Linked DNA regions of Cricetulus griseus. The protein of the gene in region 2 interacts with the protein of the main gene of each other region in a pairwise test. Links are inferred from orthologs where the notes say so. Each region holds a gene or a part of one and is shown on either strand. Other genes may lie near its edges. The genes, in order: Fgfr4, Map2k3 and Arnt.

Region 1 (3,645 bases), on a different chromosome or scaffold from region 2:
TTTTTTTTTTGAGGGATTGTATGTCAGCCCTGGCACGTTTTACAAGACACTTAGCCAGTCCTCTTCAGATTTTGAAAAAGGGTTTCACTAAGTTGTCTGGGCTGGACTTGTATCAATCTGTAGCCTAGGCAGGCCTTGGTTTTATAATCCTATTGTCTTAGAATCCCAAGTATCTGCCCCAAGACCCATGAACTTGGCAATGTGTGTGTGTGTGTGTGTGTGTGTGTGTGTGTGTATGTGTGTGCGCGCGCGTGCGCGCGCGCACAAGTGCCATGTGTGTGGGGTACCTTCAGAGGTCAGAGAAGATGTCAGAATCCCTGGAGCTGGAGCTACAGGTAGGTGGTTTTAAGTTGCCCACATCAATGTGGATGCTGGGAATTGAACTTGAGTCCTCTGCAAGAGTAATGGTTGCACCATCTCTCCAGCCCTGAGACTGGGGCTTTTAAACAGAGTTGATCAATACAGACTTGGATGGGAGGACTATGTGATGGTGGTGTGTAATTTAGTGGGATTGATGAGAAGACACGTGAGGATGATACATGAGGCCCGAGCCCTAGTCACCACACATCTCATAGGGATCATCACCCAGCAGTTAAAGTTTACTGAGCTAGCCAGGTGGAGTTCCAGTGCTCAGGAGGATCACTATGAGTTCCAGGCTGGGCTGAATGGCAGAGTGACTTCCATGTCAGCCCAGGCTAGACTGTGACTCAGCCTTAAGCAAAAAAAATTTCATACCCTGTATCAAAAATTTACTAAGCCCTGTGTACCAGACACATCCTCTGAACGCCAGCCTGAGAGGCAACGGACCATTATTTATCCCAATAGAGATACGAGGAGAAAGTGAGGCTCAGAAGTCACTTGCCAAGGCCAGATGTTAGCATTCAGGCATCTGTTCTGGCCTGCCCTCGGGGTTCTGACAGCTGCAGCCACTAAGAGCACCACCTGTGCACGTTCACTACTTTCCCTTTTAAAAGGGCCCTGCCCATCTCTTATCCCTCTCCCTCTCCCTCTCTCTCTCTCTCTCTCTCTCTCTCTCTGCCTCTCTGCCTCTCTTTCTTCTCTCCCACTGCTCCTGTCCCCAGAGGTTGGTCTCCCCCTCTCTTTTCCCCCTTTTATGATCCCTTTCCTTAATTAAAAAACAAAACAAAACAAAACAAAAACAAAAAACCCTCCACTTGAATTCTGTTGCATGGTATCTTTCTCTCTTGCAGTGCTTTTTTAAAATTACAACACCAGCAGCAGAGTTTGGTCCCAGCATGCCCTGCCCAGGTAGCCACACATACCTTTCAGCATCTTCACAGCCACGGTGCTGGTTTGGTCTGGCTGGGAGGGGTTCATGCCGAAGGCTTCTGCTCGAACCACTTGCCCAAAGCAGCCCTCGCCCAGGGGCTTCCCGAGCACCAGCCTGGAGATGAAGGAGACCCATGGCTCAGATCTGTGGGTACCACTCTTGAGTTGGCATTCCCATCCTTACTCTGCTCAGTGTACCTGTCCCGGGGGAACTCCCAAAGTGGGTCCAGAGGTAGGTCTAGGCTCACAAGGCCTGTGAGCAAGGGTGGGCCACTGGAGGACAGTCGGACACCTCGTACCAGGGACAAGCTCGATTTGCCAGAGGACCGGGACTCCAAAGAGAACTGCAAAGTGGGGGATTTGTTCTGCCTGCTGGGGCCAGGCTGAGAGCCATATAGGGCAGGGGCTGGGGATAGGCACAGTACCTGTCGGGCCAAAGGGAAACGGGACAACTTTTGTACGGTGACAGGCTGGCGGGAGTGGTGGCCATGGATTGCTTGTCGGTGATAGACCCCGGCCAGCAGCAAGACCACCGCCAAAGCCAGTGAACCAGACACATACAGGATGATGTCTGTGGATCTGGCCTCAGATGCTGTGGTGGTCCACGTGACGTCTTCCTCTGCTCTCACCGTTACAAGGACATAGAGAAACTGAGTGGTCAGTGTTCCATGGGTCAGCCTTCCCCCTCCCCCACCTTAGGTCCCCATAGCTACCAACACATAAAGGGACACACACTGAAAAAGTGGCAGTTACACAAAGTCTTATACCCCTGAGGGCCACATGGACAGTCATGTAAAATCAGACACATATCCCTGTTGGATTCAGCGAGAAAGCATTAATCTAACATGTACAGTGCCCCAAACAAACAAATACTGTACCCCCACAGGCCAAGGAAACTGCCCACCCAACAGGCCATAGCCTGTGGCCTCTCCCAGGCCTCCCAGGTGCTCACCTGGCAGCACCGTGAGCCACGCTGACTGGTAGGAAAGGCCGATGGAGTTGCCCGCCAGGCAGGTGTACTCTCCCGCGTCCTCAGCTGACACATTCCTCAGGTACAAGACCTCTACCTCTGAGCTATTGATGTCTGTTGTCTGAAGCAGCGACAGGCCGGGTCACAGGAGGGTCAGGGGCCACACTGTAGCTGGGAGGGTGGTTGGGGACCATCCCACCCCAGGGGGAAAGGGTGGGGCCCAGGCGCTCGCAGGAACGGAACCTTCAGGACTTGTACATAGGGGAAGCCGTCAGCGCCGAAACTGCTGCCGTTGATGACGATGTGCTTCAGCCACTGGATGTGGGGCTGGGCGTCACTGTACACCTTGCACAGCAGCTCCACATTGCTGCCAACCACAGCTGTGGTGTTGGCTGGGAGCCCCGCCTGCAGGATGGGCCGGTGCGGGGACCGCTCTGGGGGCCAGGCCAAGCCGTCAACCCTGACCGGTGGCGCCCATGAAATCACCCAGTTTACCTGCCCCAGCCACCATCCCAGTTCAAGGGAAGGACCTTCTGGACTTGCAGCTCAGACCCCGTCTCTTCTGCTCACCCTCCTTCAACCTCTTATGGCTTTACTGCCTCTAGGTCCAGGACAGCGTCTCAGACTCACACAAAGCTTCCACAGCCTGCCCCCACCCCCATAAATGCTGCGCTCACGGCACACACCCGCCACTAACGCTGCTTCCTTAGTAACTGAATCCAGCCCGCGCCGTCTGCCTGGTGGTGCCCTTCTCACTTTCAGGCAGACTTCTCCTTCAGTCCACAGGCCCTTTTGCTTCCTTCTGATCCTTAGAGCCATTTGACTCATCTAAAACTGACTCCATCTTGTCTCCAAGACAAGATACCCACCCTGAGGGCAGGATGGAGCCCAAGGTAAGTAACACTCTTTGTCCTACCCCAGCCCATCCGCTCACCCAGCACATCCAACAGATAGCTGTAGCGAATGCTGCCCAGAGAGTTCTCCACGAGGCATGTGTACGTGCCATGGTCTGAGGGGACCACACTCTCCATCACCAGGCTCCAGTGTTGGTGGCGCAGCTGGAAGCAGAGGAAGTGTCTGTAGGGGACCACTAAACTGGGGAGAGCCAGACAGAGGGAGGACAGAACCTGCCTATGGCTCTTCTCAGTCTCCTTAGGCCCTGAGAGGACCAGACCAAGGCCAGAGATCCCTAGACAGAGAAAAATGCTGTAGGAAGTGTCTGAGTGGGGCTGGAGGCCATTGTTCAGCAATGAAGAGCAATGGCTACTCTTCTAGAGGTCCCAGGTTTGATTCCTAGCACCCAGACGGTGGCTCACAGCCATTTGTAACTCCAGTTCCAGGGGACCTGACTCTCTCTTCTAACCTCTGCAGGCACTGGACAGATA
Region 2 (3,745 bases):
ACCTTTGCATCTGTTGCAGGGTCACACTAATGGAAGCAACCACTGTTAAAAACTGCATGCACAATAGGTGGTCCTCTGCTTCAGGCAGCCTCCAGGTCTAGTAGGCATGGGGGTGATGGTCAGGATGACAGTGTCCCACTGCTCCCCTAAGCACCTTATACAGGAATGGCATGGAGGGAGCACTGGGGAGATCAGCTTATAGTCCTGCTGTAGCCATGCTCTGTCCATCACAGCTGTGTAGCCTCTGTAAATGGTTCGTGTCCCCGAGTTTCTGTTAATAGGCAAACGGGGCTATGGAGAATAAACAAGGCAATGTATAGCACGTGGTATAGCACAAAAAGCTTGGTAAGTGACAACTCAAAAGCTTTTGGTGAATGGATATTGTCATTCCACCATCACAGATGTCTCCAGACTCCCTAAAAGGCTACAAGGGATCCCGGGCCTTGGAGAGAGTCTCAACTTCCATCCAACCCACCCAATATCATGTTACCTAACCTACAATCTGCAAATTTATACTGGCCCTCTCAGAAGAAAGACCCAGAGAGTCCAGTGCCAGGCCTCAAGTCACCATGAGGGTGGACAGTATCCACAATCAATGCTTTGCTATGTCACCCACAATCTTTCTCCCTTGTAATCTACAACTGCAACTTTATTTTGATGTAGCATCTCTCGCCTGGAAGAACTGAAATGCCTCTAAAACAAACACTGCTTCCAACCCTTCCTGACTGGAGCAGCATCTAATTTCCTGGTTCTCAAGTTCCACGAGGTCTGCATGCAAGTCCCTCCCCAGCCACCTCCCCCAACAAGTGCCTCCCTAGTTACTCACAGAAGTTGGGCAATGGTCAGGGATCTGGCCTCCCACTTATGTAAGATGCAATTACCCCGCCCACTGGGCTCCTGCACAGCCATGGAAGCCAGCTGCAGGGGACTGGAAAGGCCCCCGCCTGCCCAGGACAGCCTGCCCAAGACCAGGACTCCTGAGGTCGAGGTTTCCTAGGTCAGAAGGAGAAAAGGCCACTACTGCCCCAGCATCCTCTAAATGTCTGCCATTCCTATCATCTCTGCTCTGCAGCTGCAATCCAAAGCTGGGCCCCAACCCCACAGGGCTGAACCTTTCCAGCTGGAAACAGCCAACTTTTTCCCCTGTGTACCTACTATGTGCCTGGTGCTACGATGGGTTCTTGGTCATCTCGACCATGATTGCTTCAAACCACCCTACATTTAATCTCCCATCACACCCCAGGTATCCGTTTCATTAATAAGGCCTAGATGTGTCAAGAGACTGGCCAGGTGAGGCAGTGGCAGGTTCAGAATGCAGAGAGTCAACCTATTCACAGCTGTAGGTCCAGTTTGGAACTCTCTTTTCTGCAGCCCAACCTACTTAGTCTCTGACATGTCAAAAACACGTTCCTCTCTTCCTGGAAAAAGAAAGAAAGAAAGAAAGAAAGAAAGAAAGAAAGAAAGAAAGAAAGAAAGAAAGAGAAAAGAAACAGTCTTGCCTTCCAAGTCTTGTCCCCCTCACTTCCCATGACAAATGCTGCTGCTTCTGCAGCCCACGCAGCATCACTGCCACCTCACAGAAATTTCCAAGAAAGCCAGTTAGTTACTTGGAGACAAGTCCCAGCCTTGTACAGTTAGCCCCTGGCCTAGCAGCAAGCCCAAGTACCAAACACCGGTTCTGAAGGCAGCAGACCAAGAAACAGTAGGTGCAGGAAGAGGTCGGCTCCTAAGTGCAGTTAGAAGACTGCAACTGAGTCAACGAGCAGCAGGTAGCATGGGCTGAGCTGCGAAGTGGAGCCGCCAGGAAGTTCTACAGAGACAGCCTCAGGGAGGAGTGCAGGCGGCCAGTGTGCAAGCCAGCAAGGCATGGGCCAAGGAGGGCTCACAAGAACGGATGGAGCTGGAGGAGAGGAGGAGTTCTGAGTTCAAGACTAGGCAGGTTTCCGGCATTGGGAACACAGCCCGGGGGCCCAGAGGAGAGTAAATTGCAGCCTGGACACAATCCAGGAGCCTGGCCTGAAGGGGCTGGTGCAGCCCAAGGACCCTCTAGCAGGCAATCAGTGAAATCCTGGCTAAGTTCAGGATGCAGCCCGGAAGCCTAAACGAGGAGCTCACGATTACGCTCCAGACTTGGAGCGGGGTAGAGAACGAGATCCTGCCTGGGTGCAGTCCCACGGCCTAAGATCCGGATTCCAGTGAGGTCCCGCGAGGTCCCGGGCTCGGGCTGGATCCAGTCCTGGGCTGGAGTGCCATTGCCTGTGCCCGGCCCGGAAGGGAGTCCAGTGTCCCGGATGGGCTCGAACTGAGTGTGGCTCGGGCCGCGCGGTAGGGCGGGAGCGCCTACCTTTGGTCTGAGGCAAGCTGGCCGGTGGACTCGCGGCGGGAGACTCCATGCTGTGGACGGTCGCGGTGGAGAGCACTAATCTAGAGGACAGCAGACTACACCGAGGCCGGGCGCGCTCATGGCTGCTGGCGGCAGGCGGCGGACGATAGGCGATAGGGAGCAGAGAAGCGACGGTAGCAAGCGTCCGAGGCGGGCGGCGCCACAGCCACACTGGGCAGCGGCGGACGCCGGCCGACGGCGCCACGCAGACCCCGCCCCTCGCGCCGATTGGCCTACCTGAAAAGGCCCTTGCCTATCAGACGCCGACCGGACTGTCACGCACAAGCTCCACCCTCCGGGAGCCGGAATCCAACCCTGCTTTCCCCTAGTCCGGTCCGGCTCCGCCCTCTTGCCTATCAAGATGACAGCCCTACCCATTCGCGGTATGGTGCTGGCGCGGTCCTGGATACCCCAGCCTGTGCCCCCCTACGGCACAGCGTGTGCCGGTCGTAATCTGGAAAATCTCAAGCTCTCTAGGATAGTCGGACCGGGCCGATGCGGCTGGTAGGGTGCTCCTGGAAAATTGCTCCTGGAATGAGACTGGACTCCTAAGTGGCTGCGCCGTTCCAAGGGTGAGCGTCATGTGCTTCTCCCCTTTAGAGAGCTGCGACCTCGGGCCTGCCTCCTAGGGCAGCAGGGGAAACGAGATCCCGCGGCGGCGCGTGCCAGGTGAGTGCTGACCAACTGTGGGAAAGAGTTCACCGCGCCTTGCGGAGCGCACACGCGTTTAAGTCCGTGTGGCGGCTGCAGCCAAGAGCACCTGACACGCCGGCTCTTAAGGAGCACCCGGATTCAGCTGCTACCTGGCAGTGCCTAGTAACAAAGTAACTTTTTGTGTTGTAACATTATAGCGGCGCTATTCCTAGGGGTTAGGGGTAGTCTCCGATAAAAAGGTGTCATTCCAAACATTGAAATACCTTTGGCCAACCTTGAGTGGGGTTCCATCTCCGCGGTCAGTCGCTGAGCCTCTGTCCTCACACTAACCAGGAGTCTCTGGGATCGGATGGAAAGCCGGGCGGGCGGCCGTAGTGAGGGCAAGAAGCACAAGGTCAAGGAATCAGTCGCAGCCTGAGTGAGTCTTAGCTCTCTGGCCAGCACTCAGGGCACCAATGCCTTGTTTGCATACTTGGTTTCTACCGCACCCCTCCTCCCGTGCCACCCGCCTCCCCCCATTAGGAATTCCCAATTAGGAATCCTGACTGTCTCATCCCCTGCACTATCCCAAGGCTTAGCCCAGAGCCACGCACATAGTAGGTTCCTAAGAACTATTTGAGGAATGAGCAGAGGAAGTAGGAAAGCATGCCACAGACATGGGTAAAGTGATTCTAGTCCCGTGCCAGCCTCCTGGGCACCAGGGTGACT
Region 3 (3,745 bases), on a different chromosome or scaffold from region 2:
ACAGTTGTATCTTTGTACCTGCTGGAAGTCAGAAGACCTGGCACCAATTATCTATATGGATTTGGGAACTAAGAATAAGGTTTTTTGTTTGTTTCTTTGTTTTGTTTTTTAAGAATAAGGTTTTTAAAGGTGGCTTAATTTCAACAGGACAGATGGCACAGGCCTTCACCTTTAATCTCAGGAGCAAAGGCAGGGGGATCTCTATGAGTTCCAGGCCAAGTCAGTCTACATAGTGAATTCCAAGGCAGCTAGAGTCATGTAAAGAGACACTACATCCAAGGGGAAAAAAAAAAAAAAAAAAGGAAAATACATAAGCTGGACAATGGTGATGTATGCCTTTACTCCTAGTACTCAAGAGGCAGAAGCAGGAGGATCTTTCCGAGTGATCCTCTGCTGAGGCCAACCTGAACTACAGAAAGAGTTCCAGGACAGCCAAAGACACATAGAGAAACTTTCCCTCAAAACCAAAAACCAAAACAAGTAAGTAGTTGCAACAGTTTTCAACTAGTTTATCAACAATCCAAAATTCACCTGAGTGCAATACTAACATCATCTACTTGGTTGACTGAAGTTGCTGTGGCAATCTGATTGGAATTTGTTAATGTTTCACAGTTAAAGACAGCAAGTTGAGAGGTTGACGATTTAGCTCAACTGGCAGAATGATTGCTTAACCCTTGGTGCAATCCCAAACACAACCCGTAACTCGGGCATGCTGGCCCACACCTATAATCCCAACACTGCGGATGTAAAAGAGCAACATCAGGAGGGTGGAGATCATGACCAAGCAAATTCAAGGCTACACTCTGCTAGTGGTGAGACCCTAAAAAACCAACCAAACCAAAGCTGGGGTGCTGTAACTGCAGCACTCACTCTGGAGATCTCCGCAAGTTTCAGGCCAGCTAAAGTTACACATTGAGATTCTGTCTCACAACAAAATGAAAAACAGAGCTGGGTGGTAGTGCTAAGTGCCTTTCATTCCAAGCACTCAGGGGACAGAGACAGGCAGATCTCTGTGAGTTCGAAGCCAGCCTGATCTTACTGTTACACAGAGAAATCCTGTCTTAAAACAGCCCCCACCACACCCCCACGTTGGAAAAAAAAGAAAAGGAAAAACAGAAAACATCAACTCTACTATCTTCACTTCCTGGTCATCTTACTAAAGAAAGGAGGAGGAAGACAAAGGAATTCAAACCTTTAACCTCCCTACTGCTGACCGTGTACCAGCTACCATACACATGGGTGAAAAGTGTATGCTGCAACTCTGCACTGTAAACACTAAGGAAGGCAGGGCTGTGATGACACACCTTTACTCCCAGCACTAGGGAGACAGAGGCGGGCGAATCTCAAGGAAGCGTTAGGCCCCACATGGCTGAACTCTGCTATGAACAATCACCCTAACAAGCCTGCAAACGGACGGTACTTTTGCTCCCATGAATCCTTACCTGGATGCATCATCAAGGAGCTGGTCAACATAAGCCACCTCAGACTCCTTCTGTAGCGACCACGTCTCCAACTCTGCTAGCTGCTTCTTGCGCTGCTGTATACAGTCCATCTTTTCCAGCATTTCATCAATGAACTGGCGAAGTTCCTCCATAGAGATACCCAGCTCTTCAACCACTGCCTGCTGCAGCTCAGTCATGTCTTCAGAGTCAGGGGCAGCTGTTGCTGCATCCAAACTAACGCACCCAGGGAGGGAGGACATGCTTTTGCCCTGTGCAGAACAAGGAACCACGATGACTCTGACATCAACAAGCCGGCAATTTCAGCCTCATCATAAAACGCACTCCTATCCTGCAAGCTCTTGTTCATAGTCTGTTCTCTCTCCTCCTTCACCAGAATGCCACCCGGAGATTTTCTGGGGAAACTCACCTTCTCACACAGACCCACGGGCATGAGGAACAGCTTGGAGGGCTTGCAGAACACCGGTCTGCAGTAGAGAGCTGCCCAAAACAATGATTCGCAAAACTGAAGCGTGCTTGTCTACAAAGGAAGGTATTTCTGTGAGCTAACGTGCTCCTTGTTTATCAAGGAGACGAATCCGTCTCTGCGCTGTGTCTCAGCTGAAGTACCACGTCCACCTGGACACAGCTGGGCCGTAACTAACTACTTCCATCTTGGGTTTTGACTCCTTTTCTCCCGTTACGTTACTTTGCTTCCCCGTGGGAAGTAACTCCTACGACCAGGCAGGGGGTTGCTGCACAGGGAAGGGGTCCTCGGCTGCACCCGGCCCGGAGTCTGCGTCCAGCAGGAGGGAAGGAAAGGAGGAAACACGAGGTCTTTGCTACCTGCACAGAGCACAGCTTGCAGCAGAGGCCACACAACCTCCACACTCGAGTCACGCGCTCGGGGCTCGGCCACCAAGGGAAGGAGCCTCGGCCCCGCCGACCCGGTCGGCCCCGCCCCCTTCGGCCCCGCCCCCGCCCGGCTCCGCTCTCCGCCAGGTGTCTACACACAGCTGCCGCCTCCCACAGAAAACCCCCGGGGTGCCCGCCTCAGCCTACCTCAGCCAGCCCTCCTCACCACTGCGGCTCCCAACCACGAGGACCCCAGATTCCGACTCCAGGGCTCGGCCTCGCCCACAAACACAGAAACCCAGAGAGAGCGAGAGAGAGCGGGGGTGGGAAAGGCGCGTGAGGGATCAAGAGGGAAAAGCAAAAGGCCCGGAAGCAAAATCGAGCGCCCTTCCGGCCGCTCAACGGTAGCCGGACAGGGTCAAATTTACTGCCCAGCACGGCAGAATAAGGACTGTGGGAACCTAAGATTGAGCATGCGTCAAGCCGGCGTGTATAGCTAGTCTAATCATTAATACTATCAGACTTCTGAGAAGGATAAATTCTGTGTAACTTCTGAATCTATTTAAAAATGACAGGGTCCATTCCATATAAAGTTAGCCATACCCAAGTCTCAATAGTGTTGGGGGCAGTAATAAATATTCGCCAGGTCCATATAGTGAGAGTTTTTTCTCTCTGTGGAAGAGGGACATGGAAAAGACTGACCTTATTTTGTCTAGGCAAAGGTGGTGAAATCAATTCTCCAGTGTCCTGTAGCCTGTCCACAGTCTGAGCCCGGTCCTGTCTGGCAGCAGGTTTAGCATCTGAGCATCATGCTCATTGGTCAGCATTGTCACAGTCCATGGAGCCCCATAATCTTCTTTAGAGACCTTGGGTCACTGTCAGGATCTGGAATTATCTGTCTGATATTATAAGCTTTTTAGTTAGCACTTTAAATGCCATACTCTGCAGATCTCTATAGTATTAGAAGTCATATACCGGGGACTGAGTCAGGTTTATCCCTGTTATTAATCATAAGTACTTAGCTTGACCATTGAAAGAACCCGCTTCCCTGTTGGCAGCCATTATGGCCGAACATGTGCTTCTATGACCTTGACCTAGACACTAGAAAGTCAGATGCCTGTCTCGTGACAGGGAGCCAATCAGAGGTTAGCTGGTGGCGCTATGCTTTACGACCTTAGGTGTGCTTTACGTACAAGCAATGACACGAAGAGCATAGCAACCACCCTGGGAGGGCCTATGGGCCATAACAACCAGTTGACCAATCAATACAGGACAAGCCCTCCAAGCCTGGAGACACACCAATCGTGAGCCTGTGCGTAAGCCTGTGCGTACCCCTAGACACTCCCCTTACGCTGCCCTATAAGATCTTTTGGGAGCCCGTAGGAGCCGTCTTTGCTAGCCATCTGCCATGGCGGGTGGGTGAAAGACCCGAGCTAACATGGGGTTAGCTC

What was found.
Region 1: the proteins of Map2k3 (region 2) and Fgfr4 come close enough for resonance energy transfer, tested with the Homo sapiens proteins (2 studies listed by BioGRID). The link is inferred for Cricetulus griseus from reciprocal best matches to the Homo sapiens genes MAP2K3 and FGFR4.
Region 3: the proteins of Map2k3 (region 2) and Arnt come close enough for resonance energy transfer, tested with the Homo sapiens proteins (2 studies listed by BioGRID). The link is inferred for Cricetulus griseus from reciprocal best matches to the Homo sapiens genes MAP2K3 and ARNT.

What each region holds. Positions count from the first base shown.
Region 1 is NC_048596.1:274,156,711-274,160,355, reverse strand, and holds part of Fgfr4 (fibroblast growth factor receptor 4), read right to left. Parts: intron 3,319-3,645; coding exon 3,195-3,318; intron 2,695-3,194; coding exon 2,504-2,694; intron 2,382-2,503; coding exon 2,243-2,381; intron 1,910-2,242; coding exon 1,716-1,909; intron 1,635-1,715; coding exon 1,489-1,634; intron 1,406-1,488; coding exon 1,284-1,405; intron 1-1,283. UniProt on the Homo sapiens protein: Tyrosine-protein kinase that acts as a cell-surface receptor for fibroblast growth factors and plays a role in the regulation of cell proliferation, differentiation and migration, and in regulation of lipid metabolism, bile acid biosynthesis, glucose uptake, vitamin D metabolism and phosphate homeostasis.
Region 2 is NC_048600.1:74,919,877-74,923,621, reverse strand, and holds the start of Map2k3 (dual specificity mitogen-activated protein kinase kinase 3), read right to left. Parts: upstream 2,567-3,745; 5' UTR 2,394-2,566; coding exon 2,345-2,393; intron 1-2,344. UniProt on the Homo sapiens protein: Dual specificity kinase. Is activated by cytokines and environmental stress in vivo. Catalyzes the concomitant phosphorylation of a threonine and a tyrosine residue in the MAP kinase p38.
Region 3 is NW_023276806.1:61,085,575-61,089,319, forward strand, and holds the start of Arnt (aryl hydrocarbon receptor nuclear translocator), read right to left. Parts: upstream 2,650-3,745; 5' UTR 2,502-2,649; intron 2,358-2,501; exon of another isoform or gene 1,981-2,357; 5' UTR 1,894-1,980; coding exon 1,870-1,893; intron 1,712-1,869; coding exon 1,443-1,711; intron 1-1,442. UniProt on the Homo sapiens protein: Required for activity of the AHR. Upon ligand binding, AHR translocates into the nucleus, where it heterodimerizes with ARNT and induces transcription by binding to xenobiotic response elements (XRE).